Rattus norvegicus: one gene and its partners. The protein of the gene in region 5 purifies or fractionates together with the protein of the main gene of each other region. This does not show direct contact. Links are inferred from orthologs where the notes say so. Each region holds a gene or a part of one and is shown on either strand. Other genes may lie near its edges.

Region 1 (6,216 bases), on a different chromosome or scaffold from region 5:
ATGGGCGGTAATCGTTCACACAGAATTTACAGGCCATCAGAATGAAAGCAGATTAAGTTAACTAGGTCATGCCAACTTAGGATCATTAACTTGAGGCACAGACTGCTCTCTGCTGAGCTTCCTGATTTTTAGACAGTTAAATTCGATCATTAGAATTTCAAAACGCCTGGTTTTCAGAGTACTCCTCACAGGGCTACCATTAAACACAGCTGATGCTTCGAAAAGCTCTTGCTATAAAAGTTTAAGGGCAGAGACCAGAGTTACTGCTAAGAGGTCAAAGTGAAGTGCATCTAGAAGTTGCCTAACTTTTCAATCAAACCCTTAGTAAATGAACGCTTTTAACGAGTCAGCTGCAGCCTAGAGAAAAGAGTGAAAACTCAGCTTAGCACCCCCGCCCCCAACCCCTTTTGGTTTTAAGAAAACAGAGAAACAGTTCTCAGTTCTCAGCACTTTTCTCAGTTGCTGAACAAACAACGATCCAAAAAGGAGGGATGCATAAGGCTCACTCCACTCTGTCGCTTGTAGGCCCCAACATACCTCCGATGCGAAGAGAACCTTGATAGTATATCGCCCAGGGGCGGGAGGCACGTATTTGACTGTGAACGTGTCGTTGGCATTGTGAATAATGTCGAAATCGACGTCTTCCTCATCATCACTTAACACTCGGGCATCACACTTGATACCAACACTGACATCACCTGGAACAGACCGTCTTATTAGGACCAGATCGCAAGCAAGGGCACGTCTTGCATAGTCACTTCCAGCTTGGGCTGGCACACAGCAAGGGCAACCCCAGAAAGGAGAAGTAGCAAATCAGCGTTTTGGAAAAGGTCGCACAGAGGATTGGCTAACACATCGCCAAGGAGCCAACACAGCTCATTAGGAGAGTTCTCTGCCCTCCAATGCTGTAAGAATGCTCTTCTGAGAGGAGCGACAATCACTGGGGTGGATAAACCCAAGCTCACCTTCCCCAGCCTCCGTGCAATCCACTGTGAAGTGAGTAGGCTCGTTTGCCTTCAGACCACTCCTCTCCACGCCCGGTCCAAACACTTTGACCTTTTGGGGATGGCTACCTTGTCCAATGTTGACCTAGGAAAGACATGAACCCAGAAAAATACATACTAGGATCCAGCATAAGACTAGAAATGGCCGTTTTGTAAGTCTACAGAGTATTCTGTCCTTTAGGACAAGTCTCTTTTCAAGGCCTACCCAGAATGGTTTTCTTCTATACATCTGCCTTGGTCATCAATACACAATGTGCAGACTCAACACACAGCCAGGGTTTCTCGTATGACCAGGATGACCACAACTTACCCTGTAGGGGCTGTGTGGTATGTTCACCCCTCCCCAGACCACAGCTATGGTGTGCTTGATAGCTTTGACCGGGGTATAGGAGCAGACATAGGTGCCATCCATCCGGCTTTTCATCTGGATGTCAATGGGCTGGCCTTCCCCATCCTGCAAAAGAACCAGAGCATGGACCAAAGCACTCCTCGAAGTGTCTCCGCTGAAAGGGGGTCACTGAGGCTTCTACGGATGGCCAAGATACCACCAATTTGTCTTAGAAAACCATACGGCGATTACAGTGTGCTATGCGCTCTCACAACAAATAAAACCAAACCGTCCCCCCAACGCGACAGGCATCACCAGCTTACTTAGGATGATCTCGGTGTCTTTCCTTGGGCCTCCTAATTACCGGGGATCATGTCCATGCTGTGCCCAATTTCATTTACTCACTTATAATTACTAAGAATAAACGCTATCTTCTCTCCCGCTTAAAGCCAGCGCCACTTAGCACTTCATTTCAATCCCAGAGTTGAAGTCCTTCGGCTCATTTTAACTAAATCAGATACACGATAATCTAAATTTTGCCCACAAACCTACTAGGAATTACATAGACTCAGCCAAACTGAAAGACATTACGGAAAAATCTGAAATAAAAAAAAGCCTTCTTTTAACAGAGCGTGAATCACTGATATCATCGTGAAAAATGTCCTGGTTTATATCCGATCATGTAGTCCTCACGCCATACTGTCTGTGGGATACTATTACTGCTCCCGGTGTGCGGGAGAGAGCGGAGGACCAGACACACTGAGCACCTCACGTTATACCTCTGACCTGACAAGGGCAAGCGGCCCCAGGCCCAGATACTTACCTGAGCCAGTATCTTTAAGGGAGCGTTCCCGGCATCCTTAGGATCTACGATGAACTCAGCTGGGTTGTTGATAGTACAACCAGTTTTCTCCAGACCTGGCCCATATGCTTGGACCTGAGGCAAAAACCGAATAATGATTTGTTTTTCTGAGTTAAAGAATGGGCTGGAAGGGAGGGTGTACAAAATGCCTGGCCCTTAGTTAAGGATGGAAGTCGGAAGTAAAATCGCAAAGTAGGCTGAAACTTAAATAAAAATAAACACCACTGGGGTTGGGGATTTGGCTCAGTGGTAGAGCGCTTGCCTAGCAACCGCAAGGCCCTGGGTTCGGTCCCCAGCTCCGAAAAAAAAATAAATAAATAAATACCACTACTAGCTGTCCTTGAAGAAGAAAACACTCTAAAACAAAACCCAAACTAACCCAGCTACCTGCTGTACTCTGAAATGACAGAAAGAATTTCTAGTTTCTGGCAGATCTTTAGATGTGCCTGAATGCAAGGCTCCCACTTCGAGGGACTGAAGGTTGCAGCCACCACAGGTCAAAGAAAGTGCCACAAGTTGGCCATTGACGGTAGTCTATAGGTAGCTATAAAAGGTGGCAAGATGAGCCTCTTCCACAGGACAGGCATGTCCTTTAACCATCCCAGAAGCTCTGGGAGAGATGCTCTCACTCCTGGTCCATAGAGAAAAATGCCGAGACTCAGAGAGTTACACGACTCTCCCAACATCTAACCCATTCCTGTCTGCCACAGGGGAGACAGGATAAGAGAAGAGAGTGCTCTCACTAGATCTGGGTTGTAGTCTCCTGTGGCAGGATGGATGAAAGCCATGTATGGGCTGTCCTTGATGTCTTCGTCGTCGCACATGATGTGAACGGCATATTCTCCAGGTTCCTTGGGCCAGTATTTGACGTCACATGAGCCATCGTTCTGATCGTCATACTCGATTTTTGCCTGGGAAGGACCTTCGATGGCAAAACCTGGGGGACAAGGCGGAAGGGCCTTCCTGGTTACACATGGTGAGAATTATCTAACCTAGGTTACTACCATCGGTTCTCTGCCTCCTGGAAAGCAAGTAGTGAGTAGAAAACTGAAATCCAGTGTGTCTCTTCCAAAAAACCAAGGTCACTGGTTCTTAACTAGAGGCGGATATTTCTGGTTTTCAGATGACAGAAGAGTCAGAAGGCGGTGCACACGGGGCAGGGGTATACAAGGACCAGAAAAACCCTTCTATTGGATATACAGCAACATATCCAGAAGCCTTAAACAAGTACTCCTTTGTCTAAACCCATTTCTGAGTTTTTATCTGAGTAAATTAAGTGAGGTTATACACTCAGCACTGTTCATATAACAAGATCTTGGATATGACTAGCAAGCCTAAGAATAGACTGAAACATAACAAAATCCCACAGCTACCCCCACTCCTCTGGGGCATAAAGGTATAAAGCTATGAGTGTGTACAGGAAAGGGGCCTAAGAGAAGACTAAAAGGTTAATTACTTCCTTAAACTACAAGCATGCTCCAAAGTGACTAATCTTCCTACTGGTGGAAAGTATATATAATTCCTACTATTTTTCCCTCTTTTGCTTGTTGCTATAACTAAATGGGTGTCATTAAATATAGCTCCCTGGCCAAATTCAGCTCACTGCCTATTCCTCTAGAGAGAGTTTTACAGGAAAGTAGGCATACCCATTTATTTGTGTGTTTAATAACTGCTTCTAAGCCACAATGGCAATCACATAATTGTGACAGAGATCATGTCACAGCCAAGGAAAAGAGACTGGGTATGTGGCCCTTTCTAGAAAAAGCTTGACTTCTAATCTGTAACGATCACACATTTTGTCAGGCAACCACTTAAAATATATTCAGCTTCGTGCCAAATAATATATTTGCTTTTTCAAATTTCAGCTAGCTGTACCGAGGCACCTATTTAATTTAAGTGTAAGTTACCAGTGTTTACCAGTGTGATATTGTATGCGCTGTTTAGCAAACCACTGCCCCATTCCCAGGGAACTGGTGAATAAATAAATAATCAAATGCCACAGGCATTGGACAACTGAAAGCAAGAAGGAAAAAGAAGACCTAGAACGATACAGCATCCAGAGGAGGTCTTGGGTAGCTGGGAGGCCACGTGAAGCTAACACTAGGCCCACCTCATGACTCTTAGCCTTAAAGAAGCTGTGGGGACAGCTGCCTCTACTTACCCAGAGTCCCGACCTCAGAACCAATGGATTCCACCACAAAGTCTGCTGACCGACCAACAATGCCACCGTGGAGTCCAGGGCCCCATGCACGGACTTTCTGCATGCCTGCCTCAGGGCCAACTTGAACTTCAAAGGGGCTAGAAGGAAGGAACAGAAGAGGATCATAGAAGGGGTTCGAGATAACCATGAACTCTTAACATAATTCTTTCCATTTGCCTGCTCTTTTGCAGAGGCTGAAACTCTAGGCAAGTAAGTTTCTTCCCCCACACTGGTCACCCCCACAGCCATTGTTATGTCAACAATATAATGTAATATGGTTGCTTCAGGGGCTGGGGGTAACTGGGCTGTCACTCAAGCAACACACTACTTGCTCTGGTTAGCTCATTAGTGAGTGACCTTTGGTAGGCAGGGCCTTCTAGAGCGGGAGCCTTAAAGGTAAGAATGTCCACGTTTCTCTTTCTCCTACCTATGCTATCACCAGAAAAGTCGTTTGAACAGGCTTCAGTTCATTCGTATGTGATCGAACATGCTTCAACTTTGGCAAGGGACGTTTTTAATAAGAGTGCTCAGACACTGAAAGCCTTATAAGAGGTCCCCCTTATCTTCTGTTTTATTTTCTTAAGTTTCAAATTTGGTCTACAGTGTGTGTATCGTTATGAGATTAATAGCAGACCGGTGCTTGGCCACGGTGCCTACGTTATTCTTTCCCCTTTATCTCATTACGTCATCTAACACCACAAGAAGGGGAAGTCCAGCACAATATGGTGTAGTTCATTAACTATGGTGCATATTCATGTAGCTTTCATTCTGCTGCTTCCTTGCTAGTGCTCCCAGTCTCTTATTGTGTGCATTTTATAAATTAAACTTTTTCATGGGTGTACAAGTCTGGGGGGGGGGGGTAACCCAGCACATGACGTTGTCTGGGGTTGGTTTCAGGCATATATTTATGGTTTTAGAAGGTAACTTTTATGGACAAGGGAGGGCTACTATAATGCTCAATTATTTCTCTAGACAAACAAAATGTATTCAACGTTTAAATTGCCCTCAGGAGAGCGTCAGAGCACAGGGGTCCAAAGAGGAAACTGCTATAGCCCCAGGCAACGCTGTGCCCAGGGATCCCTTGTCCCTGATGGCGATCCTGTGGATGGGTTTTTATGTGAACCATAGCCCGCTGTGCCCCTGTGGCACTCGTGAACAGAGGCATTCATTGAGCAGGAGAGCCTCGGCTTCTGTAAGGCTGTACAGACAGACACACAGCCCACTTGCTCTCCATTACACCTCTTTCTGGTTCCCCTGCCTCCCACAGGCACAAACCACCGGCATTTGATTTAAAGCAGGGCAGCTGAAACCACAGCGACTTTCTGTTGCTTTTGAGAGAAAGCCAAGTGTCTGTGCTGCGATGAAAAGGTGGGGAGGGGAGGGAGGGAGGCTTCAACAAAGCCGATCTCTCTTCCTTCTGGCAGCCTGGGAGGCAGTGGGCTCCTGTGAGCCTGTCACAGGCTGAACATACCTCTAGATGAGGCCCCTCTCCAACCCGGACTCACCTCTTTGGAATGTGGTGTCCCCCCCAAGTAACTGCAATGCTGTATTTCCCTGGTGTGCTGGGGTAGTACTCAAACGAGTAGACCCCATCCAGAAAGCCCTTCTGCTTGACCAGCTCCTCCAGGCCCTCTGTGGAAAGCAAGCAAGCACACAGCCTTTGCAGTATAATCCTTGGCTTACAAGGAGACTCCCCACAAAACACAGGCGACCTACAAAAGTTAAACTCTGAATGTGAGATCCCCCTCTAAAGCTGGGAGAGGTTTTTCCAAAACTCAAACCAGAGCCATTCTCAGCCTCCAAGAGAGAGAAATGGAAGACT
Region 2 (6,355 bases), on a different chromosome or scaffold from region 5:
TCTCCAGTCCTCCTCCTCTGCACCTGGCCTCTGGAAAGCGTTGCTTTTTTTTTTTTTTTTTTAAAATAAGGTGTTTTTTTTTTTTTTTTGATTTATTTATTATATATCTAAGTACACTGTAGCTGTCTTCAGATACACCAGAAGAGGGCATCAGATCTCTTTACAGATGGTTGTGAGCCACCATGTGGTTGCTGGGAATTGAACTCATGACCTTTGGAAGAGCAGTTGGGTGCTCTTAACCGCTGAGCCATCTCTCCAGCCCGAGAGCGTTGCTTTTAATAGTATTTTAAACTTGTATTTGTTTATTTTGTGGTACTGATAGAGTTTCAAAACAGTTTGGTTTGGACTGTGCTGTATGGCCAAGGCTGACCTTGAATTCCTGATCTTCCAGTCTCAGAGGTGCTGAGGGTAGAGGTGTGAACGTTATAAACTGAGGGTTTCAGCATAAGATGTATAGAGTCAGGCATGACCCGTGCAAGGTATGGCTGAGGGGAAGGTTTTTATTGTAGATGCAAGGGGAAGAGAACAGCCAGAGGCATCTGGAAGAGTGCAGAGCAGGGAGAGAAAGTAGTAGATTGGCCATGGCCAGTGGACTGGACTTGACCATGAGGTAGGAGTGAGGGAGAGCGGGAGAGGGAGACGAAACGTGTGGGCAAGAGAGATCAAGGAGGAAAGTAAAATGGGACGGGAGATTGCATAGCTGAAATGGGAAGGTCATAGGAGAATGAGAGGCTGTGGGAGGGAAGCCTGGGAGCTGGAGTGTAGGGTAGGGGTGGGGAGAGAAGAGCTGGGGGATCCATAGGTACCTAATGCGGAGGAAGCCTGGAAGTTAGCGCTTTGCTGTACTAGCGGGGACAAGGAAATTGCTGTTAATAGAGAACAGAGCCAGCAGCTGGGGGAGGAGTTTCCTTTGGATCTGATGAGTAGTAGGTCTGGCTGACTCTTTTTTTTTTTTTTTTTTTTTTTTTACCTTTAAGGTGTTTTCATGTATCCCAGGCTGGCCTCACTTTGGCCACGTAGCCCAGGATAACCTCGAACTCCTTTCTGATCCTCCACTTCTGGAATGTGCCACCGTACCCGGTTTATTTGATGTAGAGGATCAAATGGTGCTTCATGCACACCATAGGACACTCTATTGAGCCACACCCCAAGCTCCTATTATGTTTGTTTGTCTGGTTGGTTTTGAAGACAGCATGTATGTGGCCCAGTCACTCTAAGAACTCTGTAGCCCAGGCTGGCTTCCAATTCACAATGCTTCTGCATTAACTTCTGGGTATTGGAATTACAGGCATATACCACCATTCCTAGTCTGGTAAATTTAATCTCCAGGTTACTCCCCCCACCCCACCCCACCCCCTGCCTCTTCCTAGGGGAATATTAGGCTGGACGGAGGAAGGGGCTGAGCCTAGAGCAAACACTTAGCAAAGACCCCAAAGGGTGCTCCAATTAGAAACACTCATCCCTAGCCCACCATAACAACTCTGGATTCTGAGAGGGTGGTGAGCAGTAGTTTCCAACTTTTATTTGAGAAAAACAGAAAGTACATGTATCAAAAGAGCATTCAGATTGACAGAGAGGGAGGGCTGGTGACGGCTACTGGGGATGGGTAGCAAGCTGAAGGCTTCTACTTGGCTCCAGACTGTTCCGACTCTGGGCCTCCAATTTGGGCACGGGCCTCGAAAGTGACCGGAATGGTGATCTCCGCTGATTGTGTGACTGCTTTGGGCAGCGGAGCCTCCACGGTGAGTGTGCCCTCAGGGGACAGGGAAGAGGACACCAGGGTGGGGTCCACACCTGGAGGGAGCCTAGAGGAGCAGAAACAAAGGACAAGGGTTACACATCCCTCCTGACCCCGCCCTCCGCCCAGGGTCCGCTCCCCCACCCCCCAGCTCTCCATGCAAGGAACCAGAACTCACGTGTATTTCCGGGTGAAGCACCGAGAGATGTAGCCATGTTCATCCTGCCTTTCTTCGTGCTTGCCTGTGGGTGGGGACAGAAGGAGGTCAGAGGCAGCCCTCTGCAGTCCTAGCTAAGGAATGGCTGGGGCCCCAAGGAGGCAAACAAATTAAGAGTGTGGTGGGATGCCTGACTGTCTGGGATCTTAAAACTTTCCAGAAAGTTCGCTTCTGAGATTTGGGATGCAAAGGTCCCGGACCTGGGCTTGGCTCTGACCCAGGCTTGGATGCCAGCGTAGGCATACTCGAAGCTGTGCGCACGCCCCCACCGCGGCTGGGTCTAGGGACCCTGACTGGAGTCCTGCCACTTGCTTATTTGGGGATGAGGTCTTCCAGAAGGTGCCTTGGGTCTTCCTTCATTTTGTTTCTGTGCTGCGGGTGGTCAAGGCCTCAAGGCCTCCGGGCTTGCCAGGCAAGACTCTGCCCTGAGCTACACCCCCAGCTGTTGGTCCTTATCATCGAAGATGACAGAGCTTTTAGGAGCAAACCTGCACCCCGCGTTCCGGGGCAAGAGAAGCAGGCTAGGGAGAATGACGCGGGTCTCCGGGTCCCTGAGCTCATTTCTAACTTTTCAGGGTCCTGTCCCTCATGGTTTCAGCACCCACCCCCACCCCCCACCTCCACTGCCACCACGTTACTCGCTCGCCCCACCAGCTTCGTCCCCTCTTGGGATAAGGGAAACTCACCAGTGATCTCCACCACGCCTTCCTTGGTCTTAACTGTGAGCTCCTCAGGAGCGAAGTGGTTGACGTCCAGGGACACGCGCCAGCGATCGGCCGTCTGTCGGATCTCTGAGACACCGCTGCTGAGTTGCCGGTTGAGCGCCCGGCTGAAGGCGGGCGCGGCCAGGGTCACTGCTGCGGGGCCCTCGGCGGTCGCGGCGGGCAGAGGGCGCACATAGCCGGGCCAACCAGCGGAGCTGAACCACTGAGACCACTCATCGGGAAACCGAGGCACCCCGAAAGCTTGATCGAAGAGGCGGCTGTGGGCAGGGTACCAGTCCCGGAACGGCTCCCAGCTGGGGCTCCGCAGTAGCGAGAAGGGCACGCGGCGCTCGGTCATGGTCTTGGCTGAGCTGGTCAGGGCTGAGGATCTAGAAGCACTGGGCTGAGGATCCGAGAAGTGCCGAGCTGGAGCCCCAACTGTGCTTTTATGGGTGTCCAGCCGGGTATTTTTAGCAGGCGGTGCTTCAGGTCTCTATTAATGGCAATGACCGTCTAAGGGGCCGTCCCTCGCCGCCCCTCCCCTCTGCATTCCTCCCCCTAAGCTTACGAAGGGGGCGGGCAGGCAGGGCCAGGAAGGTTCTGCCCCCATCTGGAAACTTCTCTAGTTGAAGAAAACAAATGACTGTAATACCGGTAGCTGGAGCAGTTCCCACTGTCGCTTAGAACGCTGCAGTCTGAAGGGCGGTGGCCTGGGGCCAGTCCCATCGTTTGTGGAGAATAAACCAGGAGGGGTACGGTCTTTTGTGTCGCAATTAGGAAGCAACTGAACCTGGTCTGAGCCAGAAGGAGGCCTGTGGGGACACACTTGTCAGGGCACACCTGTGGAGGTCTCTGGATGACCAGCCAGACTAGCTGTCTTCTACCATGTGTCTCTTTGGGGACCAAAGGCTTGGTGGCAGGCGCCTTCGTCCACTAAATATCTTACTGACCCTGAGACTTCTTTTTCTCTTCCTTCCCTCCTTCCTTTCTCTCTTTCTTTGAGACAGGGTTTTTCTTTTTTGTTTTAATGCTTTTTTAAACATTATTTTTTGTGTATCAGCGTTTTGCCTGCTTGTACGTCTGTGTGAGAGTGTCAGATCTTGGAGCTACAGAGAGTGTCAGATCTCGGAGTGCCCTGCGGGTGCTAGAATTTGAACCTGGGTACTAGGAAGAGCAGTCAGTCCCCCTAATCGCTGAGCCATCTCTCGGGAGACATCAAGCCTGGTGCCTGCAAACTGGATGGGCAGTGAACCCCCTAGCATCCTCCTGTTTCTGCAACTGCCCCACCCCTCCAGCCTAGCGCTAGGATTAGGATCTTTTTTCAAAACAGGATTTTTCTGTGTAGTCCTGGTTGTCTTAGAACTCATTAGACTAGGCTGGCCTGGATCTCACAGATCGGCCTGCCGTTTCCTCTGGGAGAGTTGGGATTAAAGGCTAGAGGCATCACATGGTAGCCACCTCCAGCTTTTATATGGATTGCTTTGTGGTCCATACAAAAGAAACTAGGGTTAAAGGTCACCTGTGATGTCTATTAGCATACCAATGAGCACTGGCCTCTGGGCTCACTGGGCAACTGAAATACTACTCTTAGCTCTTCTCAGCCCTTCTCACCCTGCCCCTTACTCATAAACGTCTCCAGTTCTTGGGGCTCCCCTCCCCCAGCTTCTCACGACTGTATGTGCTCTCTTGGTCCTCTCTCCCTCATCCCCCTCTCTTGGTCTTTTTTGCCCCATCTCTCTTTGCTGGCATCTGTCCCTCTCCCAATCTCTCTTCTCTCCTGTCCACACACACCCAATCTGCTGGCCATATGCAGTTCAGTTTCTCTGCTCTGGATTCTTCCAGACGCCTCTGACTGTATGCTCTCATATCCACCGTAAAAACTTTCCCCTTAACCACACCTCAGAGCAGCCATGTCCTCAGTTGTAGACCCAAAACTCAGCCCCCAAGTTCGCACAGCCACCTCTTTATCCACTTTGGGATTTTTCAAGTCCCCCATTTGTCTTTTTGTTTTTTTTGTTTTGTTTTTTTTTTTTTCTTTTCTTTTTTTCGGACCTGGGGACCGAACCCAGGGCCTTGTGCTTGCTAGGCAAGCGCTCTACCACTGAGCTAAATCCCCAACCCTTTGTTTGGGTTTTTTGTTTGTTGAGAATATGGTCTCATGTAGCCCTGAGTAGTCTGGAATTCTCTATGTAGCCAAGAACGACCTTAATTCCTGATCCTCCTGTTTGTACCTCTGAAGCGCTGGGATCATAGTGTCTGCCACCACATACAGCAGGAATGTCACATTAAACAGCCTGGTGGCCTCACTGGGAGGGTCAGGTCAGCTCCCAGACCACCAGACGGCTTGAGTTTCCACTGGTTCTGTGGAGGGGCGGGGGAGTCTGTAAAAGCTACATTCTCCGTTCTTTACTCTCTCTTGCAAGATGGGGATGACAAGGACGCGAATGCTGATGTCATCGGGCAGACATGAGAGTCAGTGACATCATATAAGTGAAGATATAGCCCAGGGCCTCTGAGTCATAGTTAATTATTGGTTATTTGTTATCCACCATGGCTCAACCATCAGTAGGGTTCAGTCATCCCTATCCCTCAGGGGGTGGACCTGACAAACCAGGCTGCTTTCAAAGTTGTAGCAACCCTGCTGCCTATGTTTCTCAGGACTGGGAAATAGGCCACGCCCCAGCCCCTCATTAGGGGATTCAAGGCAGGGCCTCTACCACTGAACCACGCCCCCAGCCCCTCACTGGGGGATTCTAGGCAGGGGCTCTACCACTGAGCCACGCCCCCAGCCCCTCACTGGGGGATTCTAGGTAGGTGCTCTACACTGAGCCACGCCCCCAGCCCCTCCCTGGGGTATTCTAGGCAGGGGCTCTACCACTGAGCCACACCCCCAGCCCCTCACTGGGGATTCTAGGCAGGGGCTCTACCACTGAGCCACGCCCCCAGCCCCTCACTGGGGGATTCTAGGTAGGTGCTCTACACTGAGCCACGCCCCCAGCCCCTCACTGGGGGATTCTAGGCAGGGGCTCTACCACTGAGTCACGCCCCCATCCCCTCACCATGGGATTCTAGACCAGCATTATACTGCTGAGCTCTATCATCATTGGTTATTTTACTTTTTTAAAAAAGAGATTTATTTATTTTATGTATATGAGTACACTGTAGCTGTCTTCAGACACACCAGAAGAGAGCATCGGATCCCATTACAGATGGTTGTGAGCCACTATGTGGTTACTGGGATTTGAACTCAGGACCTTTGGAAGAGCAGCCAGTGCTCTTAGCCACTGAGCTACCTCTCCAGCCCTGGTCATTTAACTTTTTAAAGAAGTTCTTTAATTTTATTATTATTATTAATTGTTATTGTTTATGAGTGTGGGGGATGGGCTTGGGGGAGGTATGGGCGCCATCGCACATATGTGGAAGCCAAGGTGATCATTTTGTGGATCTGGTTCTCTCTCCTTCCTTCTTTATGGCTCTGGGAAATGGAATGTAGGTTGTCAGGCATTATGTGTGTGAATGTTTTGCCTGCGTGTATGTATGTGTGCGTGTAAGTGTATTGAGGAGGCCAGAAGAAGGCTTCAGGTCCCCCGGAACTGGGTTTCAGATGGTTAGGTTGGTGGAAACCAAACCTTGGACCTCTTAACTGTCAGCCATCTCTCCAGCCCCTGCAGCAAGTGATTTGTTTCCACTGAGTCA
Region 3 (6,216 bases), about 110 Mb from region 5:
GAGAGTACGGAGGGGCTGGAAGAGAGAAGTCCTGGACATTTAGGGTTTGTTATAAAGACCCCCAACCCCTACAGAGATCCTTGATCGAAGAGAAGGTCCTTGCTTGTCCAAACTGCTTTATTTGATGGCAGATGTTAATACAATACCTTAATCTGAGTGAGCTAGAGATTGAATACCTTCTTCAGGAACCAGTGCCCCAGAAGGGAAGCTCCTGAATTGAATGCCCAAGGCCTATCTAGATAGCTCAGTAGCTTATCGAACTTTATGCTGTGTGACTGATTGCCACGGTTCTCAGTGGGCTTCCAGAACAGGTTTAGGCAGAGTTGGCTCCAGTCCAACTGTTCTCAGTTCTGAGTTTCATGGGGTTTAGGCTCATTCAACCTTACCAGTTCTTTTGTCTGGTGGTACAGTCCACTTGCCCCACACCTCAGGGTAGGGTGGTGCCTTTATGAACCAACTCCCAAACCCCGCTCCATTCAGGATGGGATGTTGATAAACCCAGTTCTGTGTAGGTCAACTTTAGTTTAGGGATCCCTTTTCAGTAAAATAAGGACTGCTCATAAGAGAGCAGTGTTTGGGTGTTTTTACTTTGTTTTATTTTCCTTTTACTGGGTATTGCTGTATAAGCTGACTGCAATTCACTGTGGCTTAAGCTGGCCTCACATCCAGTCTTTCTGCCTTCCAAGTACAGAATTTACAGACATGTTACCTGGCTTAAGACAAGATCCCTGCAGAAGAGAATCTTCTCACACAACATATTTTTTTCCATACCAAATAGTGGGAGGACTTGGAGAAATTGTATATTTGCTGACAATATTATTCTGGTTTTTGTTGTTGTTTTATACTCTTTTATATTCAGGATGAGGAGGAGTCCTTGAATGAAGTAGGCTATGATGACATCGGTGGTTGCAGGAAGCAGCTAGCTCAGATAAAGGAGATGGTGGAGCTGCCACTGAGACATCCTGCACTCTTTAAGGCAATTGGTGTGAAGGTGAGTATCCTAAGATCTGTGGGGAGTCTAAGACAGTGCTATAATGTTTTCTCATGGTGTGACTGATGCCCTAAATGGCTTAAAGGGGCAATAATAATCTTTGGGTTTATAGAAGGCTCTAAAAATTCATTAGAGCTATAGATTGTCATGTATATGTATGTACGCGTATACACACATAATATGCTTAAACAATGAGATCTCCCATGGATCGTATTAAAATTTTAACCATAATTTTGCCAATATTTGTAGAGTATTACTCAATAAAAGAAGGAAATTAATCGAGTTTTCAGATCCTGAGTTAAACACCTGAGAACCACCACCTGTCTAGAATAGTTTTTTGACCTTTTATATGTAATAGAACACACTAAAGATGAAGTGTGACTACTTTGCTTACTAAGCATACAAGTGGTTTTGTCTTGAGGGCAGTTTCAATGTCTTGTGGATAAGGCTGCAGACAACTTACAAGAAAGGTGCAGTTGATTATTTTAGAAGAAAAGACATGCCTTCATTCTCTCTGAGGCAGAGGCAGGCGCATCTATGAATTTGAGACTTGACAACCATATCTACAGAGAGTGGTTCCAGGACAGCCAGGGTTGCACAGAGAAGTCCTATTTGTCTGTTTTAGGAAAGGAATCTTGTTTTGAAAAAAAGACATTCTAGGGCTGGAGAGATGACCAGCAGTTAGAACAGTGACTGCTCTTCCAGAGATCCTGAGTTCAATTCTTAGGAACTATCGGAAATACCACTCAGTAGCAAAATTAGAGTTATGAAGTAGCAATTAAAACTTACGGTTGGGAAATCCTAAGACATCAGAAATAGGTGTTTTCCAGTGATCGTGACCCACAGATTTAGAACCACTGTCCTAAAAGGTTGTAAACACATGAGTGAAGAGCTCTAACCCTGAAAAACAGACCTTGCTTTAGTAGTAAGTACCTTGCATCCTGGTTTGTCCAAAGGGAAATTATTGAGGCCTTGGCATAATAACTTATTATTCACTGTCCTTCCAGTTTGTAAAGTCCCCCAGGTGTGACTTTTTAAAGGTGGTTCTTTTTTTTTTTTAAGGTTGTTCACTATTAGTCTCCTATGCAAATTGAGTTTATAAATGTTAGTGTTTATTTCCAAGGAGAGAGGGGGTGGAGGGGGAGAGGGAGGGAGGGACGGAGAGAGAGGGGGAGAGAGAGGGAGAGAGAGAGAGAGAGAGAGAGAGAGAGAGAGAGAGAGAGAGAGAGAGAGAGTGTGTGTGTAGCAGCAGACAGGGCTTCTTTCTTTATGTATCCTTAGCTATCCTGGAACTCGCTATATAGACCGGGTTAGCCTCAAATTCAGAGACCTACCTGCCTCTGCCTTGAGTTCTGGGATTAAAGATGCAAACCACATCTGGCTCTTTGTGTTTTCTTTTGGTCTCCCATTGTAAGTCAGTCTGGCCTCGACTATGCAATTCTTACTATTCTCTTCAGCTGGGTTTATAAACGGGTCTCAAAGGCTTGTGTGTTCTTTTTTATGTGTGTGGCTGTTAGTTTCGTTAATGTATATGTAGACACCACAAGCTTTCAGTATCTACAACTGACCAGAAGAAGACATCAGCTAGATCCTCTAGAACTGGAGTTACAGGTGGTTGTCAGCCACATCCACAATCAGTGGAAGAGTAGCCAGTGCTCTTAAATGCTGAGCCATCCCTCTAAACCCCAAAGACTTTTTCTTTATGGTATCAGTATAGAGCCCCGTTTCTCATCCCTCACTAGAGCTCTAGTCCAGCTACTTTTGGATGGGGGGTTGGGGGAAGGTAAACTCCTGACCCTAACTGAACTTTGTTGTCCTCAGCCTCCTCGGGGAATCTTGCTATATGGACCTCCTGGGACAGGGAAAACCTTGATTGCCCGAGCTGTGGCAAATGAAACTGGAGCCTTCTTCTTTCTGATCAATGGTAAGAAACTTGGTCCATCTTATGTCTGACTAGACCCATTTCTGAGTGGGGCATCTCATGGAGACATCATTTGCATACCCTTTAGCATATTAAGAAAATTATTTTATGACTTAAGGTTATTGGTGGGTTTTTTGTTTTTTTTTTTGTTTTTTGTTTTTTTTTTTGTCTGCATGTCTGTGTACTATGTATTTGCAGTACCTAAGGAGGCCAGAAGAGGGCATCAGATCTCCTAAAATTGGAGTTATCATGAACCACTATGTAGGTGCTGGGGATTGAACCCTGGACCAAACAATCAATGCTTTTAACCACTGAGTCTTCTCTCCAGCCTAAGTTTAGCCATTTTTGTGTGTGTATGTATGTTTGTTAATGTATTGTGGTATGCGTGCACATGTGTGGGCTTCAGAGGATAATCTCATGGTCTTCAGGTGCAGTCTACCTTTTTAGAGACAGGGTCTCATTGACCAGGAACTGTTAGTGTAGATTGACTAACCAGATAGCTGCAAGAATCTGCCTATCTCTCCAGTGCTAGATTTACAAGTTTGTGTGCACCATGCCTGTTTTATTTTGTTTTAACATAGATTTTAGGGATCTAGCCTGGGTATGCATGCATCTAAGGCAGACTCTTTAGGCCCTGAGCTATCTCTGTAGCCTCACTTAATCATTTTCTGATGAATGAGTGTATTATGGGAAGATAAGCAATAAGGGGAAGGCTTTTGGTGGGGGGGTTGGGGTGGAAAAGGGATAGGAATTGAGATATGGTCTCACTGAGTGGTATTGTTGTAATTTTAAAAGTGTTAGTATTTCTCTATTCCTGGCTAGCTCACAAATGAAACTGAATCTAAGATTTATTTAATTCTATCGGTTTGGTTCTCTGGGCTTCAGAGCTGTCTTCGGGACCCCTTCTGGGACCCCTTCCTCAATGCATCCCTTCCCCACCCCACCCCCCCAAATCCCCAAACTGGTGGAAGTCCTGACCTATTTTCTCTTCTCTTCTGCCCAGCCATTGGCTGGTTAGATTTTATTGACAAGTCAGAATAAATGGGGAGCAATGTATACACAAACTTGTAATAAGCATTACATTCCATGTCAGGATTTCACATAGATATGGGGGGTAGAAAAAAATCAGCATCTGAATAATGCAAGGGTAATCCTTTTATTTTTTAAAAGATTTATTTATTAATCTTATGTAATGAGTACACTGTAGCTATCTTCGGACACACCGGAAGAGGGCATCACATTACAAATGGTTGTGAGCCACCATGTGGTTGTTGGGAATTGAACTTAGGACCTCTGGAAGAGCAGTGTTCTTAACCTCTGAGCTGTCTCTCCAGCCCCACAAGGATAATCTTTACACAGTACACAAAAATATTTTGCCTAGTGTGTGGCCCTGACAAGTTTTCTTGTAGCCCAGGTCTGTCTTTCCTTCCCTTGAGAAAGATTGTGAATAAGGCATTTAGGGAACAAGCTGTTAGGATAAATCAAGTTTGTTTGTTTTGAGGGTTTCTCTGTGTAGCTCTGGCTCACTCTGTACACCAAGGTTGGTCTTGAACTACACCTGCTTCTGCCTACCAAGTGCTGGGATTAAAAGGCATGTACCACCATCCATGCACAGCTAAAAGGTTTATTTTTATCTGAGAATATTTGTGTGACTATGAGCTGAGGGATCATTGTTTGTCTTTAGAATGATACTTAGATTATTAGAGGTCCATTGATAATTAGCCTCTTACCAAATCATCTTTGTCATCCTAACAGAAGTATATAGAGCCATGGTCTTTGTAGTCTGACCAGGTAACTCTTACTCAGTAATGGGTGGAAAGGGCTATTAGGCACAGGGATTACTGCATTCTTAACTCCGGACCTGTATTTAGGATAAGGGAAAAAAATAAAAGTTTCTTTAGGGATTGGGGGAGGACAGGTTTTTGTCATTGTTTTTAAAAAATAACTTATTAATTTACTGTGTTCTTGGACTGGAGAGCTGATGGATCAGTGGTTAAGAGCACTGATCTTCCAGAGGTCCTGAGTTCAATTCCCAGCAACCACAGTCATCTGTAATGGGACCTAATGCCCTCTTTTGGTGTGTCTGAAGACAGCAACAGTGTACTTATTTATATAAATAAAATAAGTAAGTCTTAAAAAAAATTATTGTGTGAAAGTCAGAGGACAAGTTGAAAAAATTAGTTCCTTGTTTCTGCCACGTTGGGTCCAGGATTGGCAATAAGCACCTTGACCTGATTAAGGCATCTCACTGACCCTGTCATTGTCTACTGTGTATCTCTTGAGGTCCTGAAATCATGAGCAAATTGGCTGGTGAGTCTGAGAGCAACCTTCGTAAAGCCTTTGAGGAAGCTGAAAAGAATGCTCCTGCCATCATCTTCATCGACGAGCTTGATGCCATTGCACCCAAAAGAGAGAAAGTAGGAACCTACCCAATGGGATGGTAAGGACTTGTGAGGTCCTGACCTAGCTTCTGACCAGACATACTACTGTCTTACAGACTCACGGGGAAGTGGAGCGTCGCATCGTGTCTCAGTTGTTGACCCTTATGGATGGCCTAAAGCAGAGAGCACATGTGATAGTTATGGCAGCAACCAATAGACCCAACAGCATTGACCCAGCCCTACGGCGATTTGGTAAAGACCTTAAATTTTTTTCCTACACCACCCTTTTTTTTTTTTTTTTTTTTTTTAATATATAAGACAAGAGTTTCTCTGTGTAGCCCTGGCTGTCCTGAAACTATGAATACCAGGCTGACCTCAAACTCAAGAGATTGACCTGCCTCTGCCTTCTGAGTGCTTGGGATTAAAGTTGTGCACCACCATCGTGCAAACCAGCCTGTCCTTACTTGTTGATATATTGTAGGGTATATTGTTGGTATGTCTGTTGGGCTTGATTTCCTTATCTCACCTATGTCTTTAAGTTACTTAATCCTCAGAATTTAAGTTCTTTGTCATGACAGGACCTAAGGTTTTTTTTTTTTTTTTCCATTCTGTGTTCTCTCTAGGGCACTCCCTCAACCTTTCTAGTGCTGCGACCCTTTAATATAGTTCCTCATGTTGTAGTGACCTTCAATCATAAAGTTGTTACTACTTCATGGCTGTAATTTTGCTACTGTTATGAATTGTAATGTAAAATATTTGTCATAGAGGGTATTTGATATGTGACACCCACTCCCACCCCCGTTAAGTGGTTGTTCTGTCCCAGAGGGGTCGAGATCCAGGTTGAGAGCCACTGCTCTAGAGTAACTATCTATTTTTTGCCTAAGTCTGAAAGATTTCCAGGTTGTGAGGCATTAATGCTAACT
Region 4 (6,216 bases), about 6.1 Mb from region 5:
CCATGCTGATGGCAGGCGCACCCACATACACAAAATTAGAATCCAGGTCAATTACCAGCACACGGTGGCTTACTTATGAACTCTAGCTCTAGGTGATCTAGGACCTGCCTCCAGCTACCCAATAATATAGCAAAGACACAAACAACAAACAAACAAAAAAAACCCAAAACCCCCAAAGCTCTTAAGCGGCAGGTCGAGTGGACAGCACAACATAGTTCCCAACGTCTCTACCTTCTTTGTTCTCCAGGATGTTAGGTGCGAATCCACCCTCATCACCCACATTGGTGGCGTCTTTCCCGTACTTCTCCTTGATGACGTTCTTCAGGTTGTGGTAAACCTCTGCTCCAATGCGCATGGCTTCCCGGAAAGAGGATGCCCCCACAGGCAGGATCATGAACTCTTGCATGGCCAACTTGTTGCCAGCATGAGAACCGCCGTTGATCACATTGAAAGCCTAGGAGGACAGGAGTGATGTCACCCACCCAGGGAGGACAAGGGAGACCCACCACAGGGCATGAAGCCCCTGAACTCCATAGCTGCCAGTTGGTCCCTATGAACGCGGTCTCCAAATGCTCACTAGGACTCTTCTAAGAATTATCCCCTTATTGTGCTGGGCATCAACACACACAATAAGCAGGAGGGTCCTTGTGGGTACCTATGGCCGCACTCTCAGCCCCGCCATGGTTAGTGCTAACTGTGACCCTCCCAAACGCTGATGGAAGGAAGGTGCAGTCCTGCCAGCTTCCTGTCTGCCCTGACTGTAACCTAAGGCTTCACTGCTGCCCTGACTTCTCTAATACGAAGGGTTGTAGTCGGGAACGGTAATAAACCAAACACTTCCTTTCCCCAGCTGCTTTTTCTTGGGATATTTTACTGTAGCAACAGAAAGGAAAACAAGACAGACTTAGTGTCAAAGTCACTCACTGGGACCGGCAGGATGACTTCAGGGTTGCCGGCCAAGTCGGCAATGTGACGGTAAAGGGGCACCCCCTTCTCCACGGCACCAGCCTTGCAGACAGCCAGGGACACTCCCAGGATGGCATTTGCACCAAACTTAGCTGGAATAGAATGAAAATGGTGAGCAGGGGCCATTTCTTAGCCTGTTTCCCACTGGGCTGCATAAATGGCCCACCCGCCCTCCTGGAGATTCGCGTGTTGAATCCACAAGTGGCTGATTACGAATCTCCAACCGACCACTGAGGAACAGCTCCCCCTGTGCACTCACATTTATTCTCTGTGCCGTCCATCTCGATCATCAGCTGGTCAATCTTCTCCTGCTCCACAACATTCAGTTTCTGGAGAGACAGGAAGTGAGGGCTCAGCTACCACTTGACCCCACTCTCCCACCAAGCAGCTCTTCAGAACCCTGGGAACCCTGGGAATTATGTGCACTAAGTCTGTGGCCATGGGGCTGGGAGTAGAGCTCAGCAATGGAGCTTCTCAACGTTTGCCAAAGACTGGCTCGACACCCTGAAGGGGTAGAGCAGAGAGAAAACAAAACCTCGCTTCACTCGCTCTATTCAACAGCTCCAGGCATTTCCTGTTCAAAGACTACAGTCTACCTAGGCTACACACAAGGGTGTTCTTGGATAAAAATTAATAAAGTTCATTGTTCATTCAAGCAGGCAGAGGTCTGCAGAGGCTACCACCTCTAAAGCTCTTGGCCAAGACAAGGACAGAACACCATTGTTTGGTGAGAACACAGGTTGTCCAGGATCACCTTACCAAATACTTGATTGGTAAACATGGCTATTTTGGGGAGTGTTATATGAAGCAATAAACTGTTTCAATCAAACAGCGCATGTGGGTGCTGGAGATGGCTCAGCTGTTAGAACACTTGTTGCTAATGCAAATGATCTTATGCTCTTTCCTGGCTACCCCAGACATGCACATGGTCCATACTACACATGCAAGTACATCACTGTATATTCATTCACAGACACTATGTAAAATACACATCCCTGCGGTGCTGTGCGTGTGAGTGGTCAGCCCTTGCTGTTGTTTGACAAGGCATTGTTGAAGGCAAACATTTGCCCAAGCAGAAAGTTCCCAGAGGCTAAACCTCCCAAGAGTGTTCAATTCAAGGAGGGCCTAGGGATGACGGGACAGTGGGCGCACAAGGAGGCGCCCAGGAGACTGGAGCCGGCAGTTGTAATGAGCAACTGTCTGGGGACCAGACAAAGAACCAATCAGTGTTTGTTACAGGCTCGCTGGGGACAAAATGGATGATACAGGGCCAATCTGTGATTCAAGAGGGAGGAACTAAATGTTAGCAAACAGAGATGATGATGGCCGGTGGTCCCTCTGAGAAGCGACTGGGATAGGACCACAAAGGCAGCACACACACTGTCCAGGGACAAGCTGTGGCCCATGTCCCTCACACTGACCAGGTACAGTGCCTTATGCCTGGAGCCACAATCTCAGCTGGCTGTGAGCCACCTCACACTGGTGCTGGGACCAACCTCAGCTCCTGAAGGGCAAGCGCTGCTCTACTGAGCTTCCCTTCCAGCCTCAAATGAGGATGTTTTAAAGTGGGGAAAGGGTTGAATTCAGGGCTTAGCACTCAGTATGTACACATCAAAAAAGATGGAGGCTGGGGTGGAGTTCTATCTCCTTATACTAGAATTGCAGGCACCTGCTTCCACCTACATCCCCAGTCCCACCCAGTCTGTAACAAAGCCATCCAACAGAGCAATAAATTCCAAAGTCCCACTACTGCCTTGAACAAAGTCCCATGACACACAAAGGTCAGGAGAGCATATGGAAACATGTCAAGCACTCCCCACCCTGCCCCAGATTCAGGCGCTTTCAGAAGCAATGGCACACACTGGCAGCAGGCAGGTTAGACTCATGCCAGCTTCCAAAGCTCTCAGAATAAGCAATTCTTGTGAAGAGGAGAGGCCTGGCCCTTGCTCTGGTGGCATGGATACACAGTAGTTACAGGGGATGGGTCCTACCTTGCTAACCAGAGCAGGTGCAATAGTTTTATTGATGTGCTCAACAGCCTTTGAGACACCTAGAAGAACAATCATGAAATTACTTACACAATTACAGTACACAGGCTTGAGCAGCCTCGCTGGAGCACCGGAGTCCTGGGCCCAGAAGCCCGAAGAGCCTCCACAGGATCTTGTTAAACCCCCATCCCCCAGAATGGGGCTTTCTGTCCCAGTCTGAGTCCTCTTCCCTAGCACCCCAGGGGGTTAAAGCCACACCAAGAGCCATGACCAGAGTGCTGGGGGGGGGTATTAGTTCAAGACCATGCACTGGGAAACCCAGCTGCACACCAGGATGCCCAGCGTGTTACCTGAGTGCACAAGGCTGGTGCCAGGAACTCATTAACATATTTAACAGGTCTGGAGACGCCTACCCATTAGAGGTGAATAGAGAAGGAAAAAGACTCAGGAGAGAAAGGATTCAGAGGACACAGAGGAAAGAAAGTGAAGGAAGGAGGCAGGGGTGCTTCAGTAGTCAGGCTTCTAATGCTGGCTGGCTCTAATGCTGGCTGGCTCCTTAGCCCTGAGACCCCCTGACACAACCTCTCTTTGGAGATTTCAATTCCCGCTCTCACCACTATTGGTTACAGTAATGGACTTTCCCTAGAAAGACCAGACTGGAGGTTGGGGATTTAGCTTAGTGGTAGAGCGCTTGCCTAGGAAGCGCAAGGCCCTGGGTTCGGTCCCCACCTCCGAAAAAAAGAACCAAAAAAAAAAAAAAAAAAAAGAAAAAAAGAAAGGCCAGACTCTGCAGGGGGGTGTTATCAGAGAAAAGGGCAGGGCCCAACTCTGCAGCACCTGGGGGGGGGAGCAGACTCCACTTACATAACAAAGGTCAGAGCCACACCAATCTTAAAGATCTGAAGGCCAGAGATCTGGGAGCTTGTTTGATCAGGCTGATCCTGTCAACTGGACACCAGTGACGGCATCAGTCCCTTGTGGGAGGAAGGCGAGGGTAAGCTGCCCTGCTGCTTTCCTGATGGCAGTGCTCAGCAGTGCTGTGGGTGAATGCCTGGGAGGGGAAGAGGTTGGTGCGTGCAGATGAGACTAAGTTCCTATCCTTACCCTTCCCCATGAAGCGGGTCTTATCATTGTCTCGGAGTTCTAGGGCCTCGTAGATGCCAGTGGACGCACCGCTGGGCACCGCAGCACGGAAGAGACCTGGGAACAGTGGGGGGAAAGAAATTCAACATTGGGCAGTCCCAATACACAGGAGGATCCGTGTCTGAAGCCAACTGGGACCAAAGAAATTCTTGTACCTCCAAGTCCCCAGTTAGTAAATCCTCACTCAGAAACACGACAGCCTTCTCACCCGCCTGAGTCTTCCACACCACTCTTTATACAGAGTGAACACAACTTCCTGAGTGAGGGACATGCAAGGTAGCACTGTCTGTGCCCACCCTGACTTCCTGCATATCCAGATGGTCCTGGCCTAGGTGAGGCAAGGCTTGTCAGTGGCCACAGACACATAGATTCACAGTGCAAAAGCTGGGTACACGGACTAGGGTGACACATAATCCCCAGGCCTGGGTTCTTATGTGGGTCCTGGGGGTTGGACGCTGAGCCTCATGTCTGCACAGCAGGCATTTTCCTAACTGAATCACCTCCCCAAATATCTTGGTCCACAGTTCCAATCTCAGCACCTAAGACTGAGGACTTGACTTCAGTGTAGGCTACATACACAGGAAATCTTATGGCAAGATAAACTAATTATCGTAAAAAGCGCTTTTCATTGGCAGGCGAAAGCATAAAGATTCTAAAGAGCTACAGTTAAGACACCCGTCTTGTTTGACTGTTTAAATGTCAATTTAGGGGGTTGGGGATTTGGCTCAGTGGTAGAGCGCTTGCCTAGGAAGTGCCAGGTCCTGGTTTGGTCCCCAGCCCCAGAAAAAAAAAAGAAAAGAAAAAAAAAGTCAATTTAGGGGTAAAGCTGCACCAGCAGGTGGAGCCATCTCCTGCTATCAGACACCTTGTCATGCACGATGTCACCAGCAGGTGGAGCCAAACCCTGCTATCTGACACCTGATGCTACCTAGCATTCCTGGTATTCACCAGGAAACATTGCCAGAACACAGCTGAGAACCCCTGGCAAAGACAATGGCGGCCAACAAGCAGGCACATGCTGGTGATTTGAGGATCCCTCATTTCCTGGGACAACGGGTAGGTAGGGCTGGGCTCTGGTGCTTGAATTCTGAGTCACACAATGACTCAGCCCAGACTGGTGAGCTTGTGAGCTCTGTAAGACGTTGCTACATCTTCCCCAGGCCTCTTTCCTATGGCACCCACTACATGCATCTCTACATCTAGATGCTGGAATCAGCAGGGGTGGGCTTTTTTTTTGTTTTGTCTCTGAGTAGTAGAAACAGGGCCTTGCTATGTAGCCCAGGCTAGTCTCAAAACTGGCAATCCTCCCTCCTGAGCAGGCCCAAGTGCTGAGATTTATGGTAGTCGCTGCCACACCCAGCCAATCTCTCCTTGCAATGCTGTGATTTAAATTTAGGACTTCCCACATATTAAGCAAATGCTCTGCCAAACTATATCCCCACTCCCTTATAACACACGAGTTCCTCACCATGGGTAGCTTGGCCTAGAGGAAAAAGCAGAGCTTCCGGGCTGTCTCCTTCCTTTCATGTGGGGAGAGAAGGCTTCCCCCTCCATTGGCTGATCCGATCAGGAGGCCAGGCTTCTTCAGGAGCCAGGGCTTAAGCCCTCCCTTACTTCCCTGCCCCGGTGACCTACCCAACCCACATCCTGTCTTAAATACCAAGAAGCAAAGCCAGACATGGTGGCAGATGGCTCAGTGGGTGGAAGGCTCAGAGGGATCAGAGTAGATCAGACTCTGCCTTGCTTCCCCATCACATTATCAATAAACTGTGGTGCAAGAGACCAGGAAATAATGTGGGTTCGTGTACCTTTTGCGGTGTAGAGATCCACCTCAACGGTGGGATTCCCGCGGGAGTCAAAGATCTCTCTGGCATGGATCTTGAGAATGGACATGGTGAAGTTCTGTAGGGGGAAAATAGTTCATATATTACCCATAAACTCTAATATAGAAGGTTTATTTATCCCAAGAGATCACCCCCAAGATCCTGGACCTGGACAGAGAACAAGTGGGCTACGTACAGAAGTCACTTATAGCCCTCTGAAGCTAAGTGTTCTGTGGGCAATTAGGTAAATACAAACTGGACAGAACTATGTTCTGGCTGCGCAGCGAAGTGGGAAG
Region 5 (5,830 bases):
TGCTTAAATAAGGCGTGGGGGGGGGGGCGTGGGGGGGGCAGCGGCGGGGCCTGTGAATGCTTCTGGACTTCAGTTCCCACACTCCTCCCAGCCAATAGGAGGGCCAGACTCCAGTCCGGCCTGAGGCCCGCCCTCTCCGGTTGTTACGTGTAACCAGTCCCCAGGAAGACCGGGGTTACAAACGTGAACCCGACGCTGAAGTCCACTATCTAAGGGCAGTGCACCAAAAGGAGCTCTGCGGTTAGAGTGGTGAAGTAAGTGGGCGGGGCGGAGCTCCTGGCTCACTTACTTTCGGAAAGGAAGCATTGGGGGATATGGAATGAAGTTCATGTTCACCTCTTAGGAAATTTCTCCAAAGACTAGAAAACAAATTTTCAAGGCTGCGAAGCCAGGAGTCATTGCGTCTCCTCGCAGTCCTACCCAAGACTCTAGCAGTATCAAGACAGCCACTTGTCTGCTCAGCTGAAAATCATTTGCTCATGTGCAATGTTGTTTCCAGCAAGGAGCCTGTAACAAACACAGAAGCCTTGGCACAAGCTTTGGTAAAAAAGATGAACCAACACCAGCCACCGCGACTAGAGGGAGGTCAACTGGTTCTGCTCACCTATCTGATAGGTGACATCAGCTGATATCACAGGGCGGTGGAAGGACAACTTCATGCAATGTAAGGATATCAGTGGTGACAGAAACCAGATGGGATGATGTCATGGTGCTAATGATGTATTCTGAATTACCCCACTGCTAAGTCCAGCAAAGAAGAACTCAAAAGTTAGGGCAAGTTACACATGCCTTTAATGTAGCATTCAAGAGACAGAAGCAGGAAGAGCTTGGTGAGTTTGAGGCCAGCCTAATCCAGAGAGTAAGTTCCAGGACAGCTAGAGCTACATAGTGAGACCCTGTCTCAAAACACACACACACACCCAAAAATTACGGCAAATTCAAAATCTTTTTTTTTTTTTTTTGAAAGGAGAATAAGAAAAACGGCCGGGCTGGAGAGATGGCTCAGTGGTTAAGAGCACCGACTGCTCTTCCAGAGGTCCAGAGTTCAAATCCCAGCAACCACATGGCGGCTCACAGCCATCTGTAATGGGATCCGATGCCCTCTTCTGGTGTTCAGTGGTGCCCTCACTGAAGACAGCTACAGTGTACTCATATACAAAGTAAATAAATAAATCCTTTTTAAAAAAAAAAAAAAGACAGGGCCACTAATATTTTAATGGTTGCTACTGTTTTCATTCTGAGTTACACTGCAAGCCCTAGTTACTAGGCACAGCATAGCCTGCCAGCTGCCTCCATGTATTCACTCAATAGAGGTGGCCTGAGAGCACAGTAGGGGCTGGACACCCTCCTGGTGGTTCAAATCTGCTTTAGTTAGCCACAGAAAGAGGCTAGCTTGTTGGGTTAGAGAAAATGGCACTGTTTGTTTGTTTGTTTGTTTGTTTGTTTTTGAGACAAGGTTTCTCTGTGTAACCCTGGCTGTCCTGGAACTCACTCTGTAGACTAGGCTGGCCTTGGACTCACAAAGATCTGCCTGCCTCTGCGTCCCAAGTGCTGGAACTAAGGGAGTGAACCATCACCTTCAGCTTGAAAATGCCACTTCCACTGAGTAGTTTCAAAGTCTTCACAACTGATTTTTCGGAGAGATGGATGTTTTCAAGAGGCCAGGTACGGCACTCCCAGAGTATTCTAGAAATGTAGTATTCCAACACCCCAGATACACATACCCATGCCTTCTATACAAGAGTCAGTCCCTGTCTTGGGGTTGACAAGAAGGCTGGGCTGTAATTTTCGCAGCTATGGACCTATGTTGAGCCATATGAAGGAGTCTGTGTGGAATCCCCTGAACCTCTGCCTCCTGCAGACATCAGACAAGCAGGGGACATAGAGGGAAGAAACCTCAAGAACCACATCCCCTCTATGATTGCCATACTAATGATTAAGGTTTAACTTGTGAAATGGGCTGTCTTTGTTATACAGGCATTGGAAAGAAAGAAAAGATCCTACTTCTTTAATTTTCTTTTAAATATTGGGCTGGAGTGATGTCTATGTGGAAAGTGATTGAAGAAAACACTCGACATTAATCTCTGACCTCTACATGTACAAGAACCTATATGCAAAATAGATAAACAAAATTTATATACCCAGTTCCTTCTAAATTTCAAGGGCACCTGCACTCACATATACACAACGCCCCCCTAATACCTTATATCAACATAATTAAAACTAAACCTTAAGAAAAACCTGGGTGCTAAGTATATAACTCAATTGTTAGAACACTTACTTAGCATTCACGAAGCTCTGGGTTCTATCCCCAGCACTGCCGAAAATGACTAAAATCTCAGAACCTAAGCAGAAGAGACAGAAGGACCAGTTTAAGGCCAATTTCAAAGTGAGTTTGAAGTCAGCATAGACTACATAGCAAGACTACTTCAAAAAACAAACTCATCTGACTCAATGTATCTTTACGTAAGCAATAGTGTTTGTTTGTTTGTTTGTTTCTTCTCTTAGCTTTTCAAGACAGAGTCCTGGTGCTTGCTCTGTAGAGCAGGCTGGCCCTGAACTCAGACATCCACCTGCCTCTGCCTCCCCGAGGCTAAGATTAAAGGTATGCATCACTGCCCAGCTACAATAAGGTCTTAATAAACTATTACAGGATAGAAATGCTTCCTACAACCCCCCCTACCCCAACTCCCTATGCTTTGAAAACTATTGTTCTAAACTAATAACCAATATCTTTGGGTAATTCTGATTGTTACTATGTTATGTAGTTTCTTTATTATTATAACATTTTTCCAAGATAACTAATTTCCAAGCTAACAAATGGCAAATACGTTTTCTACTATTAGTTCCTGTTCTGACTTTTACATGCCTTACGCAGGACCTGAAGTGCTGGGAGTTTAGGGAGTTTTAGGGCACACGTCAAATTACAGACTTGACCCTTAAGAGCCTGTCTCTTTTCTTCCCAACTACACTTTTCTTTTCATTCAGTTTTGCTTTTCTCATCCATTTAAGGTGTGCCTCAGGAAAAGGAAACCGAAACAGAAACAGCTCTGGAGCCCAGAGACTCCGCCTCTTCACATCCACAGCTCAGACTTTAAGAGAGCTGACCCAGTGAGTCTCTCTCTGACTGTGAGAGCCAGCAGCCAGAAGCTGAGAGAAGCAGAGAGAAGCAGACTCCTTAGTTTCAGGGGACCTAGTGCTAAAGCCTACAGCCATGGTGAGTCCAATTTGGGGCAGAGGCAGATGGGCTTCATTCTAGTTGACTTTATTCTATTCCTCGATAGGGTCTTTCAGAGGCAGAATAGCCTCAGTGTGGGGACAGAATAAAGTTGCTCAAAGCTCACTTGGGGGCTGGGGGTGGAGTTGGGTTCTTTGCTCAGTTATCAGCCCTAGATCCCTTAGGGCTGGACCCAGAAGGATATCTTTGTGGGTGAACTGAAACAATCTGATGGTTGTGGGAGGCTGACCCTTTAAAACTGAGGCCTCTGTATCATACAATACTGGATGGTCCTCCCTGAGGAGAAGATGGATGTGGGACATGGGGGCTGGCCCTACGACCAGTGCTTTGCATGTGGTAACTCCCAGCCAAAGTTATTAAGCCAGTGGTTCTCAACCCATGGGTCATGAACACTTTGGGGGCCTGAACGACCTTCTCACAGGAGGTCCTTCTCGCAGATATCCTGCATACGGCAAGATCACAGTTACAAAATAGCAATGAAAATAATTTTATGGTTGGGGGTCACCACAACTCAAGGAACTGTATTAAAGAACAGAAGCATTCTATTAGAGTCGCAGCATTAGGAAGGTTGAGAACCACTACTAAATCCATGTAATTCTTGCAGACCTGGAACCTAAAGGTGAAGATGCTGGGGGGCAAGGAGTTCCTGGTGTCCATGACAAACTCCATGATGCTGTCAGAACTGAAGAAGCAGGTTGCTCAGAAGAGTGGTGTGCCAGCTTTCCAGCAGCGCCTGGCCCACCAAAGCGGTGAAATGCTACAGGATGGTGTTGCCCTTATCAGGCAGGGCCTTAGTTCTGGCAGCACAGTCATGCTGATGGTAGAGAACTGCAGCCATCCTCTGAGCATCCTGGTGAGGAATGAAAGGGGCCGCAGCAATGTCTATGAGGTCCAGCTGACACAGACTGTGGAAGTGCTTATGAGGCAGGTGTCCCAGCACGAGCAAGTCTCCCAAGACCAATTCTGGCTGAGCTTCAACGGAAGGCCCATGGAGGACAAAGAGCCACTGGGGGAGTATGGCCTAACACCCCACTGCACAGTGATCATGAATTTGCGCCTGAGGGGGGGAGGGGACTACTATTTCTAAGGCCCCTATCCAGAGCCAATGTAGGTAATAAAAGACAATACAATAAAAAGTTCTGCTTTCTGTTTGCTTGTCCCATTCAGAAATGCCTTCTTTCCATGGTGACAAGGCTCTGGGTTGCCAAGTTAAAAGACAAGGATTTCACAGTTAGAGCCTAGTGAGGACCCTTTGGGTGATTAATTCACTTCTGGAGAAAGATACTTTTACTGGGACCCAGTCCTGAGCCTCTGCCAGCATCTAAAAACTTCCCCAAGTCTACATGTGGCTCAGGGACACATCAGGTCAGTTCCTACCAGTAACAGGATGAGACTTCTAATAGGACCAGTTAACTGCTCAGATCCTTTGGAAACAGTGAAGGAATGTTCTTGGACCTATCTGGGTAAGCTGTGAAGGAGGCTGATATGGGTGTTCCCAGTCCCAGTTGCAGTAGACCACAGAGGGAAGGACAGGGTCTCACTACTCAAATCAGTCACCTGCTGTTTAGGACATGGTGGTTAGCAAGTCCACCTCATCAGGGCTATAAAGAGGCTACCTTAGGCAGATTAGATGGGCACCTGGGATTGGGGGCTCATCTGTCCACAAAGGAAATCAGATCTCAGAAAGGAGGTACCCAATTTGAAAAAGCTTCACCCCCTTCCTGCCTGATGGTTCTTTATCTTGTCTTTTCCTCTATCACAAGCCTTTGAGTCGGCTTAAGACACAAACAAGTCAGGGCAAGTACCTCTATGGCCCTTCAGACTTTTAAGAGAATTTGAACGGGGCTGGGAGATGGCTCAGTGGTCAAGAGCACTGACTTGCTCTTCCAGAGGTCCTGAGTTCAAATCCCAGCAACCAAATGGTGGCTCACAACCATCTGTAATAGGATCTGATGCCCTCTTCTGGTGTGTCTGAAGACAGCTACAGTGTACTCAGATATAGAAAATAAATAAATCAGAGAGAGAGAGAGAGAGAGAGAGAGAGAAAGAGAATTTGAACGGAGACTCAGAAGACCCCCTTCTGGTTGGTGTGTTTGTGTTTATCCAGATTAGGTGACCCCAGATCTAGTAATGCTGGAGCCCACAGTGTAGATGTGACCTCAAATCTTCCTTGACCACTTCCTTCCTTGAATCCTGGCAGGGTCCCGGTGGTGGAGTCTCTCAGGAGGAAGAGGTTCTGCCACTCACACTTCCCAATGGCTTCTGGTTCAACGGCCTATGGCCCATACACAGTCTTTGGAAGACAGAACAATGTCTTCTCTCTTTCCTTCAACCTTCTGTAGGTCTAGCGCTGGCCTGGCTCCCGTGGGCCTCAGTTTATACCATGTACCTTGCTAGGCCAAGCTGGGGAAGCGCTGGGGGAAAGGGAGGGGGGCGGGAACGTGGTAAGTTCTGTAGCAAGACTAGAGAAGACAGCTCTAGGTAGACAAGGTGCATCCCGCTGCCTTACCCAGCCAGGGGCCTGGTGGACAGGTCTGAGCGCAATTCTGAACAGTCACCGCTGACCGGCCATCGGCAGGGGGCGTAGCCCTG

What was found.
Region 1: the proteins of Isg15 (region 5) and Flnb purify together in Homo sapiens (affinity purification with mass spectrometry; 3 studies listed by BioGRID and IntAct, with this or other methods). This does not show direct contact. The link is inferred for Rattus norvegicus from reciprocal best matches to the Homo sapiens genes ISG15 and FLNB.
Region 2: the proteins of Isg15 (region 5) and Hspb1 purify together in Homo sapiens (affinity purification with mass spectrometry; 3 studies listed by BioGRID, with this or other methods). This does not show direct contact. The link is inferred for Rattus norvegicus from reciprocal best matches to the Homo sapiens genes ISG15 and HSPB1.
Region 3: the proteins of Isg15 (region 5) and Vcp purify together in Homo sapiens (affinity purification with mass spectrometry, with the first as the bait; 3 studies listed by BioGRID). This does not show direct contact. The link is inferred for Rattus norvegicus from reciprocal best matches to the Homo sapiens genes ISG15 and VCP.
Region 4: the proteins of Isg15 (region 5) and Eno1 purify together in Homo sapiens (affinity purification with mass spectrometry; 4 studies listed by BioGRID, with this or other methods). This does not show direct contact. The link is inferred for Rattus norvegicus from reciprocal best matches to the Homo sapiens genes ISG15 and ENO1.

What each region holds. Positions count from the first base shown.
Region 1 is NC_086033.1:19,446,993-19,453,208, forward strand, and holds part of Flnb (filamin-B), read right to left. Parts: intron 6,027-6,216; coding exon 5,900-6,026; intron 4,791-5,899; exon of another isoform or gene 4,595-4,790; intron 4,493-4,594; coding exon 4,356-4,492; intron 3,132-4,355; coding exon 2,938-3,131; intron 2,270-2,937; coding exon 2,156-2,269; intron 1,459-2,155; coding exon 1,315-1,458; intron 1,090-1,314; coding exon 966-1,089; intron 699-965; coding exon 538-698; intron 1-537. UniProt on the Homo sapiens protein: Connects cell membrane constituents to the actin cytoskeleton. May promote orthogonal branching of actin filaments and links actin filaments to membrane glycoproteins. Anchors various transmembrane proteins to the actin cytoskeleton.
Region 2 is NC_086030.1:26,429,151-26,435,505, forward strand, and holds Hspb1 (heat shock protein beta-1), read right to left. Parts: upstream 3,152-6,355; 5' UTR 3,018-3,151; coding exon 2,642-3,017; intron 1,981-2,641; coding exon 1,917-1,980; intron 1,806-1,916; coding exon 1,625-1,805; 3' UTR 1,490-1,624; downstream 1-1,489. UniProt on the Homo sapiens protein: Small heat shock protein which functions as a molecular chaperone probably maintaining denatured proteins in a folding-competent state. Plays a role in stress resistance and actin organization.
Region 3 is NC_086023.1:62,010,927-62,017,142, reverse strand, and holds part of Vcp (transitional endoplasmic reticulum ATPase), read left to right. Parts: intron 1-859; coding exon 860-991; intron 992-2,812; coding exon 2,813-2,915; intron 2,916-5,195; coding exon 5,196-5,329; intron 5,330-5,409; coding exon 5,410-5,545; intron 5,546-6,216. UniProt on the Homo sapiens protein: Necessary for the fragmentation of Golgi stacks during mitosis and for their reassembly after mitosis. Involved in the formation of the transitional endoplasmic reticulum (tER).
Region 4 is NC_086023.1:166,005,212-166,011,427, reverse strand, and holds part of Eno1 (alpha-enolase), read right to left. Parts: intron 6,000-6,216; 5' UTR 5,991-5,999; coding exon 5,906-5,990; intron 4,155-5,905; coding exon 4,059-4,154; intron 3,364-4,058; coding exon of another isoform or gene 3,305-3,363; intron 3,017-3,304; coding exon 2,958-3,016; intron 1,296-2,957; coding exon 1,226-1,295; intron 1,059-1,225; coding exon 925-1,058; intron 455-924; coding exon 232-454; intron 1-231. UniProt on the Homo sapiens protein: Glycolytic enzyme the catalyzes the conversion of 2-phosphoglycerate to phosphoenolpyruvate. In addition to glycolysis, involved in various processes such as growth control, hypoxia tolerance and allergic responses.
Region 5 is NC_086023.1:172,064,903-172,070,732, reverse strand, and holds Isg15 (ubiquitin-like protein ISG15), read left to right. Parts: upstream 1-3,076; 5' UTR 3,077-3,214; coding exon 3,215-3,217; intron 3,218-3,842; coding exon 3,843-4,325; 3' UTR 4,326-4,364; downstream 4,365-5,830.